3 linked regions of the Danio rerio genome follow. The protein of the gene in region 2 purifies or fractionates together with the protein of the main gene of each other region. This does not show direct contact. Links are inferred from orthologs where the notes say so. Each region holds a gene or a part of one and is shown on either strand. Other genes may lie near its edges.

What was found. Proteins that work in one complex are often made in the same cells at the same time.
Region 1: the proteins of crkl (region 2) and gab2 purify together in Homo sapiens (affinity purification with western blotting; 3 studies listed by BioGRID). This does not show direct contact. The link is inferred for Danio rerio from reciprocal best matches to the Homo sapiens genes CRKL and GAB2.
Region 3: the proteins of crkl (region 2) and gab1 purify together in Homo sapiens (affinity purification with western blotting; 3 studies listed by BioGRID and IntAct, with this or other methods). This does not show direct contact. The link is inferred for Danio rerio from reciprocal best matches to the Homo sapiens genes CRKL and GAB1.

What each region holds. Positions count from the first base shown.
Region 1 is NC_133190.1:10,782,317-10,785,990, forward strand, and holds the start of gab2 (GRB2-associated-binding protein 2), read right to left. Parts: upstream 2,825-3,674; 5' UTR 2,656-2,824; coding exon 2,584-2,655; intron 384-2,583; exon of another isoform or gene 1-383. UniProt on the Homo sapiens protein: Adapter protein which acts downstream of several membrane receptors including cytokine, antigen, hormone, cell matrix and growth factor receptors to regulate multiple signaling pathways.
Region 2 is NC_133196.1:20,320,127-20,322,790, forward strand, and holds part of crkl (crk-like protein), read left to right. Parts: coding exon 1-403; intron 404-2,664. UniProt on the Homo sapiens protein: May mediate the transduction of intracellular signals.
Region 3 is NC_133176.1:38,639,403-38,643,164, reverse strand, and holds the start of gab1 (GRB2-associated-binding protein 1), read right to left. Parts: upstream 2,298-3,762; 5' UTR 1,804-2,297; intron 1,714-1,803; 5' UTR 1,664-1,713; coding exon 1,592-1,663; intron 1-1,591. UniProt on the Homo sapiens protein: Adapter protein that plays a role in intracellular signaling cascades triggered by activated receptor-type kinases. Plays a role in FGFR1 signaling. Probably involved in signaling by the epidermal growth factor receptor (EGFR) and the insulin receptor (INSR).

The sequences.
Region 1 (3,674 bases), on a different chromosome or scaffold from region 2:
TAGATTTAAGGACTGATTTAAAAGAGATTTAATGCATATTTGAGTTTGTTTTTTGTTCTGTTCATCTTCATTGTTTGAACACCTGGTTGGAAGGGAGAACAAGGTAGATGAGGACATTTTTTATACATATTGCTAAAATTTGATGCATTTGTTGGCTTGCTAATAATTTAAATTGCTATTTTATCGTAAAATTAGTCATATATTTGCAGATACTTTATAATATTGTCACTAAGTTTATTGTTTTGTCTTATTATGTGAATTTTTATTCATTATATCTTTTCTATTTGTGTTTATTCATCTGTTCTTAGCTCTTACGGTGTTGTACAGTCTTTAAGGACGGCAAATGCAACAATAAAGGCACAAAGGAGGACAGTGCAACATCAGTGCATGAGTTTAATCCTTTTATTTCTCCAACCGGGCTGTTACAATCACTTTAGACATTACGCAAGATAATCATTCAAACTGCTCTAAAGTGACGTTTGTAAACTGCCAAAGGTTTCTGCTGTTCTGACGTCAGCTGCAGATGTGAATGGCGGAAGAAAGTAGTTCCTTGTACAAAAGAGTTTTTGAGAGTCCCCGTGTTTGAATACACACAATTTAGCTGTCGAACTGTTGTATAAATGCAATATCACACTCAGAGCTTATTTATACACAAAATTTTGCTGTTGAACTGTTGTATAAACGCAATATCACACACGTAGCTTATTTATACACACAATCATGCTGTCGAACTGTTATATAAATGCACTATCACACTCGTAGCAAGATTACATTGTCAAAAATATCTTGGTTCACATGAAAATTCAAAAACTACAGAATATTCTATATCTGGCCAGTGGCCACATAATACGCTTAAATGGAAACACAATTTAGATGATTTGAGATTGCACATCGGTTCTGTTCTATGATCGGTAGTAATCTCAATGCGATGGCCAGAGGGCACTCTTGCACAGAAATACAGATTAAATTGAAATAAACGCAATATTGTGTGGTATGTCAGCAAACTACAGGTCTGTGTAGTAAATGCTGCTCTATCTAAATGCACCAGCTAATCATGGAACCGGCGTTACTGACAAAATGCAGACAAGTAGGCATGAGACGATAACAGTTTTCTAGGTATACCATGGTTTGGAAAAGTCAAGGTTTTAAAACCAAAATGTTTTACTATACCGTTCTTAAGGCATGTGTATGATATTTTACTTATGTTTTATTTAGTTTTTTTAGAACAACATATTTCCAGCAGAAAAAGAAATACTTTGTAATAGAAAAATAAATTTAGTAAAGAAATGCTATGCTGCTGTAGTGGAAACATAATACATGCAAATGACATCACCGTTTTCATTTAAATGAAGGTCAAAATGTATGGTGAGTAGACCGAAATGAAATCGCAATCAAGCAAAAGCTGCTATTCTCATGCACATCTTGTCAGGGAAGCACAGTTGTGTGATTAGTAGTAAATGTCCTTAAAAGGCCAGAGGGTGCTTCACTTAAAAAAAAAGACTTCAAATACCCATACAGTTGGGCACACAAGATTGAACTGTGTTCATGAATTTTACATGACTAATATAAGCAACTGAGTACTGACTCACCTCTCAGAATGTTTATTAAAGCTCTTGAATTAAGTTATGAAGTGAGTTTGGAGTAAAATGTATGTTATTAAATGTGATATTTTTACATGATTTCAGATGAGGCAGCAGCAGCAACAACACAGAGCCATATTCACAAAGAAGTTATACGCAGTTATTCTACATATTATTGCAGAACTATTCTCTTTTTAATCAATTATTAGATGTTTTAATCACCTGATATTTTGAACGTGATTATGCACAGCTTGTCAGTGAACTAGGCTCTATGACTAGAACCGGCTTTACTTACAAAATGTACATGAAAATCATCTTTAATTAATTGTAGCTAATAAAAGGGTAAACACTGCCTAAGTAACGTATCGTACTTTCTATTTCCATGATTACAAACTAAAAGTGTCACACAGAATAACATTTGGCCAATGACATCATATAACAGGTCATGTGATCATAACATTGCACCACCCACTCTATAAATTAGAATTCTAAAAAGGCTCTATTAAACAATCTTCCAAACCTTAAATTTTTAAATATTTACCACACAGCATTCCATAAACTAATCCAAACTTAGAACATCAACTGGCCACCTTTTGATTTTAGCAACTGTACACTTCTCAAATGTCATGAATAGGCTTCTATACTGCATAACAATACAACAGCAATCAGACACTGTGCTCTCTAAATAATAGCATCATCATATACATGTTAAACAAAACCAGTCTGAACTGTTTTGCTGGTCTCCCAGCCTAATCAGCTTGGTTTGGTCGCTGGTCTTAAATGGGCTTCATGCACTTGCTACTGTAGCATCAAAACAACTGCTTTGCTTCTAAATAGTCCAACTTAAACCAGCAAACTGTTAATAAACACATTTCAAAACAGTATTTTCTTTTCTTAGAACGACTATGTTGCAAATAGAGAGTTTGATGCTAAAAGTTGACAGTTTTCCTCCTCATTGACTCAACATAAACCACAAAATGAACATAGCGCTTTAAACACTCACATATCTCCGCAGCTTCTTCTCGGGCGGCGACTTTCTCAACCATCCCTGACAGATGATTTCTCCTCCGCTCATTTTACAGAAAGCAAAAAACACAATCAACAGCAGCAGATCAGTCTGAAGTCCTCAGATGCTGCGGGTCCATGTATGTTGAGCGCGCGCGGGGCAGTGCCGTGGATGCGGAGCTTCATTTACTGGTGATGGGACGCGTCCTGTGCGCGCTGCGGGACTCTGTGTAAACACTGCGGGCACGAACGCTCGAGTTGCTGAAGATGTAGGAAGTGTTGGTTGTCTGCTGTTTGTTTTCCCACTCACTCGCACATACACCACGCCCACTGTGTTCAAGGGACGGGACTCTTTCTCTTTGCTGTAGGGATGAACGGAGACAATGAAGCGCAAGTGTGGAGTTCGCCACACCGGCTGTTTTATGTGTAGTTGGTGTCTTTATTACATTACACCCTCTTTTGGTGGGTTTGTGTAAAGTTTGTAAGGGTGTCTGAGACGTTCAAATGTACTTTCGTGGACGGAATAACTCGGTGTTGTCAAATGAGCCGCAACAGAGCGCACTGAACGTGTTCTCGGGATTAGAAACAGCCGTCGGTAACTTCGCCCAATCTGTTGATTAGTTTGAGAAACACGTCACCTTGTGGACTGGTGTATGTAATGCACAATTTTGCTCTCAGTGCTGGTTGATTATTTACAAATAGTAGTTTTCATTACAAAAAAATATTATGTAAAATAGGCCTAATAATGTAACACACAGGCTAATTAGGGGAAAGCGGGTACGAAAGTAAAATTTTTCATAAAAAATCTAATTTTAAAACTGTTTTTAGCAGAAATACTAACCCACAAGAGTGTTTTATCAAAACCAAGTGCTATTTTGTATCGGTGTAGAACAACTTTAATATAACTTCACTTTAAACAAAGTTGCATTGTTACTTTTGACCCCATCGGTAAAGTAACAACTATATTTGCTAGATTTACTTAATCTTATTTATTTGAAATATATTTCACTATGACTTTGTTAGTATTCAAAACAACATATTTTGTCCTTTATTTTTGCAAAAAATATTTTTATTTTACATTTCAGTTCA
Region 2 (2,664 bases):
GTATGTGCGGACTCTTTATGACTTCACTGGCAGCGATGCTGAAGACCTTCCTTTCAAGAAGGGTGAAATCCTAATAATTATGGACAAGCCTGAGGAGCAGTGGTGGAGTGCCAAGAACAAAGAAGGCCGAACAGGCATGATTCCTGTTCCCTATGTAGAAAAGCTTGTGAGATCTTCGCCTCATCCTGGTCAGTCCATCCATGGTTCACGGAATTCCAATAGCTATGGCATCCCTGAGCCATCACACGCCTATGCCCAGCCTCAGACTCCATCTCCCATTCCTCCTGGTACACCCGGCGCTGTCATCAACCCGCTACCTTCTGTGCAGAACGGGCCAGTGTTGGCGAAGGCGATCCAGAAACGAGTGCCATGCGCATATGACAAAACTGCTTTAGCACTGGAGGTAAGTGGCTAAATGATCGCTCCCATAAGCCAGTATTTGCATTTGACACCCACTCAGGTATTTGATTGATGAAAGGCAATATGTGCAACCTTATGTGCATTTAAATACATATCTTCATTTTTTTTCTTCCTAAAAACCAAAGTTTATTCAGTCAGCATAGATTTCTACTGGCTTAAATGTTAGCTAATTTAAATGCTGGATGCAGTGCTGGCTGCCATAGACACTTAGGTTGGTTAGATTGAAATGGTGCAGCGGTTATACATTTAAAGGGATTTTACCTTTTGCTACATTTTGTCAGATGGTGCTGATTGCTTGGTAATGTGAAATGACCAATATTTTCTTTTGATGACACATTTGTCAGCTCAGTTCTATGTTTTGAAGGGACTTTCCTTAGATGTTTGAGCAAAAAATGACTTTGGTTGAATGCTAGAGAATTAAATAGTGATCATTCTTTTGCTGACTTACTGCATTTTCGAATTTGTGTTTTCACTTTGTGCATTACACTGGGGTTTAAGTTACTTTCACTTCTCATAGTTGGAAAATTACTTTGGCTGTGCATCTCTGCAAGAATTGTTTCAGCAAAGACATTAATCACATAGACCACTATTTCTTGGCTTGTTCACGGTCTAAAAAAGAAATTCCATACTTTAGTCATCCCATCTGGCAAGTTCCAGCACCCCTCTATCCGTTCCTACATGCAAAGCCTTGTCCATTTGTAGAAAACATTACATAACCTATGTCTTAGTCAGCCTGAGAAGGTGTCAGTGGATTTAGGTGTAGGTGCAAGAAAATGTTAAGAAACTCAAAGCTTAGGTTTGTCATTAAGCCCCATGTGTTTTTTCATTGGTTTACTGTTTTATATGAGAGCAGCTTGTATATGGAAATAAGGATTATGACGCACAGTTTGTTATGGCCTCAAGCTAAATGGTCTAATTTAGAGCAGCTATTTCAAGCGTTTTGACAAAATGAAGCATGTCAGTTACTGCATGTAATGTCAATTTCTTAATGTGTTCAAAGTTAATGCCTAGATATTTGTAAGAGTAGTATTTCTTTATTAGTATTTTAATAGATATTAACCAGTACTGCTTTATGCATTCAAAGAATTTCCATGTCTTTGAAAATTTTTTTGTTCCTTTGGCTGTAATTTTTGGTGGGCAGGATATAATCTTTTCCTCAGGCTTTTCCTTATTTGTTTTTTATAGGTTAGGGTTTGATGAAATGTCAAAGCTTTCAGCACGCCTTATAAGAAACCAGTATAATGTTTCTTTCATATAAAATGGTGCATGCTGTCCTCTGTTTACTTGATATTCTAAATTAAGACCCCATGATTTTTGCAGTATTGAAAAGATGGATGGCATCAAATAATCCAATAGTAATATTGACTATTTAATGAGGAAGATCATGGAATTTATTGTCATTTGGATTAATAAATCATAGTATCCCTATCAGTGTTAGGGTTAGTGCATTACAAGTAACGTGAGTTCCGCAATAATATTCCTTTTCTAAGTTCAAACTAAGGTAACACATTATAAAAAAAAAAAAAAAAAAAAGCAATAATATTTGTTACTTTTTAGTTTAATTAATTGGCTTATAAAAATAAATTGCTGAATTAAAAATAGTCGCAATGAATCACGCAGTCAATGAGAGAATTTTTATTTTTAAACAAATTGAAGAAAGGGAAAGGCGGATTGGCTTAATGCATAGTGGTTTTACTTAAGACAAATAGTAAAAAAGTAACAAACACATTGCTTTAAACTTTCAATAATCTGTACACGGCATGTATAGCTCTGGGGTTAAGCAGTTCTCACATAAGATTATCCCAAAGTATTATTTTTTTAATGTGTTTTTTAAAGGTAGATGTAGGTGTATGTTTATACAGTTATGAAATGCAGAGCTCCCCCATTAAAGAAAGAAAAACAACAAGTTCTGGAAGAGATCAAGCCTTAGCTAGGTAATATAAAGTAATGCAAAAGTAAGGTAATGCATTATTTGCTTAAAAAAAAAAAAAAAAAAAAGTAACTGAGTAGCGCAACTAGTTAATTTTTGGGGGACTAACTTAATATTGCAATGCATTACTTTGTAAAGTAACTTTACCCAACTCTGATCCCTATACACAGACCTAATTAGAATGTGATGTGGACTAGTAGTGTCTGAGAATATATGGCAGATTCGTTCACTACACACTAAAGCTGTGCGGCACTTGTGGTATTTTCAGAATGTGTAATGAACTTCATCTCCCACGTCACTTTACCAACATTTAG
Region 3 (3,762 bases), on a different chromosome or scaffold from region 2:
AAGGCTGAAAAAGCCAAATACTCTAATCTTGTAAAATACTTGGCTGTTTGAGTCTAAAACGTGTTGCTGATTGCACAATGAGATAAAACATGAATTCAATAGCAATATTCCAAGAAGAGCTCCACTAGATTAAAGGAATCCAATAATAAATAAAAAACATCACATGAGCCTGGAGGAGATTTCTAACATGTTTGGTTGGAGCTCGATAGCAGGCAGAGCTGTAAGTAAGTGATTTCATTACAGATTATTGGTGTATATTACCACTAAGAGGAAGGGAAGACCCCATGGTACACATACAATGTGCGAATGACTAAATGCATTGACTCATCCAGTGCAGATAGAATGGAGAGTTAAGTGTTCAGTTGTCTTGGCAACTAAAGTTGCAGCAAACAAAGGCATTTCGTGTGATTTGGTGAAAAATAAAATGTCTAAAAACAAAATGTTGAAAATTTCACAACAGACCAGAATGATTGCAAAACAAAAAAAAATACACAAGATAGGGGAGCAAGTAACCAATCATCATTGGGGCAAGTAGTGATCTGATATTTAAAGAGCTGAACATTACAACTCAATCTAATGAATACATTGAAAATTATTTTGATATATCTGTTTACCGGCATTGTATTCTGCAACCTTGATGCATGGCAATATTCAAATCAAACAATAAGCATCACACTGGTTTTCACAGCTGGCTCTTTGTGATTACAGGTGTAGCAAAGGCCTTGGACTTGTACTGACTCCTCTTGGCATGGATGCGTGAAGTTTGATTTGGGTTATGTCTTTCTTTTTTTCTGCTTACCATGCTACACAAATCCATGTATTGATTTTATCCACTTATGGGTGCATTTACTGGAAGCTAGTTTTCCAGTACTAACTAGAATACCACAAGTTGTCTATCTGCAGCAGCTGCATATTTATTTATTCAAACTTTGTCAAGTAGCCATGTGTTCCGTTTGCGCTTTAAATATGTATATGTAGCTTAATGGTTATGGCCTGGGCACTAGCTAAAGGACTATATAAACAAATATTTCTGCTTTTGTTATTATTTGTACCTGGATCAACTATGTCATGTGATACCAACATGGCGCCACCCATGAGGGGCGACCCACGTCGTGTATAAAAAATAACCTTATCTAAAAAAATAGCACCAGAGTTCCAATGTTTCGTGATATTTCTTAAAAGTGCTCTTTGTTTATGTTTAAATCTTAACAACAAAAATAAAGGAACTGCTTCTTTAATTGATCAAAAAGTTCCCATACCGGTAGGTGTGTCTACAGAACCGATCAAGACGCCACAAATAAAGATTTGCACAAGCAAAGCTTTCACAAAAACAACCCCAGTGCAATAAACACATAAACAGCGTCCACACACACACTCAGTCGCATTTTTATGAGGAACTAAACCCGTTTTGAAACTATTCTTGGATCGTCCGCATTTTAGAAAGATAAAGCTTTAACCGACAGATCGCGAGCAGTGATTGACCTGCGGTTGCTGTTGGAAAGCGTACTGAAAATTTGCATGAATCTTGCCCCAACAGTCCTGCGGTTACTGCACTGTCGGTGCATTTGAATAAAACTAAAACGTTACTTACATAACGCCGTAACTTTTTTTCAGGTGGAGACTTTCGGAGCCACCCCGAGTAAACCACATCTCCTCCGCTCATTTTCTTAAAGGCTTTGAGGAAAACACGGGTTTTAAGTTTCGTGTTTCAGCCTGTAACATATCAAAACATATTTCTAAACATGAGTTGGAAGTTGCGCTTTGAAGTGTTTTAAGCACATGTGTTTGAAACAACATGAATACCGTCACTCCTGGTTTCCAGCACGTTCACACGGGAAGAGCTTCCCGACAGCGACGCGGCTCTCGCAAACTCTTCTGGATGAAGTCCTATCCTCTGCCGAAGGGAATATATCAAGCACAGTTTGTTTAAACACACATGTATCCGTCTGTAGTTGAGTCCCCTTTTAGTTTACACACTCTGTCCGTGTAAATAAAACGCTGTTTTCGTTTTTTTCCGAGCTGATATGCAACGAGGCAGCGACTGATACTCGCCAAGTTCGGCGTAGTGAAAGCTCTGCTTGATTACCTTATTTCAAAGTAAAACAAAACAGTTTCCTTGAAAATATGTACAGTTTTTCCTTGTTTTTCCAAAACATTATGGTCGCATTAGCACAGAAGTGCCTTTGGAAGTGGAAATCTTCCCCGATCGTCGACCTTCCCTCCAGTTTCACTCCCCACGGCTCCTTGCTGATTGACAAGCATAAACGTCGATACTTTCCCTAAACTCAGCCTCCTCTGGCCTATGGAGGCAGGGAGAAGTCGGTCAAGACACAGAATAAAGAACATTACATCATGGGAAATGTAGTCTTGGAGTGTTGCCCCGTCAGAGGGAAAACACTGGGACGGTGACTCGCATTACAAAGAATAGGTGTAAATAAACCTCTTACGTCCCAAATAAATCTTACTTACATTTGGATTAAAACTGTGAAAAACAAAGTAGCAGTGTTATTTTGTGTATAATCTTTTAACAATTAACGCGCACTGATAAAAAATAAAGAAAAAAATGGATTAGACTATAATTATATATAATTCCGATTTCACTCAATACATCTATTTATCACTTCAGTATGGTTAAAAAAGTCTCTGAACCGAGCCGGCTTTGATCATCCTTGATTGATGAGCTTCTTCACTGAGGATATTACAAATATAAATGGTAAAAAGGGTAAAACTACTGTATGTAGCTAATATATTTATAACGTGAAGGAAAATCACATTTAGGCAAGAAATGCCTGAATTAACAAACAAGCAATCAGATCAGTCACTCACACATAAAAACACAAAAAAACTAAACAGCATCGCGGATATACACTTTATAAGACGTAGAGAAAAAGTAAGAAATAAAAACATCAAAGTCTCTTGATACACTATGACGTAATTACGTCATGGCGTAAAAGACTCGCTGATGTTGTTTTTGAACCGAATCTTTAAATGAGCTGTTCAAAAGAACCGAATGGCATTTTAAAGCAAATATCTTGAAATCAATGTTGTCAGTTAACGTTAGTCTACATTTATAGCCAGGAGATGTACATATTTAAATATAGGCCTACACTAAACTTGAATTTGTTTATACAGTATGGCTTAAAGTGCAGAAAAAGATTATTTTAGAAAAATAATACTAACATCTAAAAGCAAAGAACAAGGTTGCAGGCAATGATAGAAAAGTGAAGAGTTTCAGTAAAGAACGTTCACGTTTGTGGGATTGGTATCTTTGGAATGTTATTGTAATGCTAAACGCCTCACTCAGTTATCTCTGAAGCTTTGTGCCTACTCACTGCTCTAAGTTTCAACTCAGTGCAAAGGATTTAGATTATTATCCTACAATCATTAAGCGTGTGATTTTAGGTTTTGGATTAAAATGGAATTTTTACTTTATGGAGGTGCACAGATCACATAATTAACACTAAAATACATTAATGAGTCAAAAAGACATTTTGGTAACACTTAATAATAACAACACACTATGAACCATTTATTAAGCATTAACATATGGTGAATTCATTTTCTGTTACTCTACATTAATACATGTTAGTAAGCAGGTTATAACTGCAGCTATAAATGCTCTATTCTTGACTTAGAACCACATTCATAATGTGCTTAATAATAATTATTTTCATTCTTTGTTAATGATTTATTTTTCATATTTAATGAAGTATTGCATTATTTACAAACCAATTGTATTTAAGAATAGTTGATGGTTTTTAA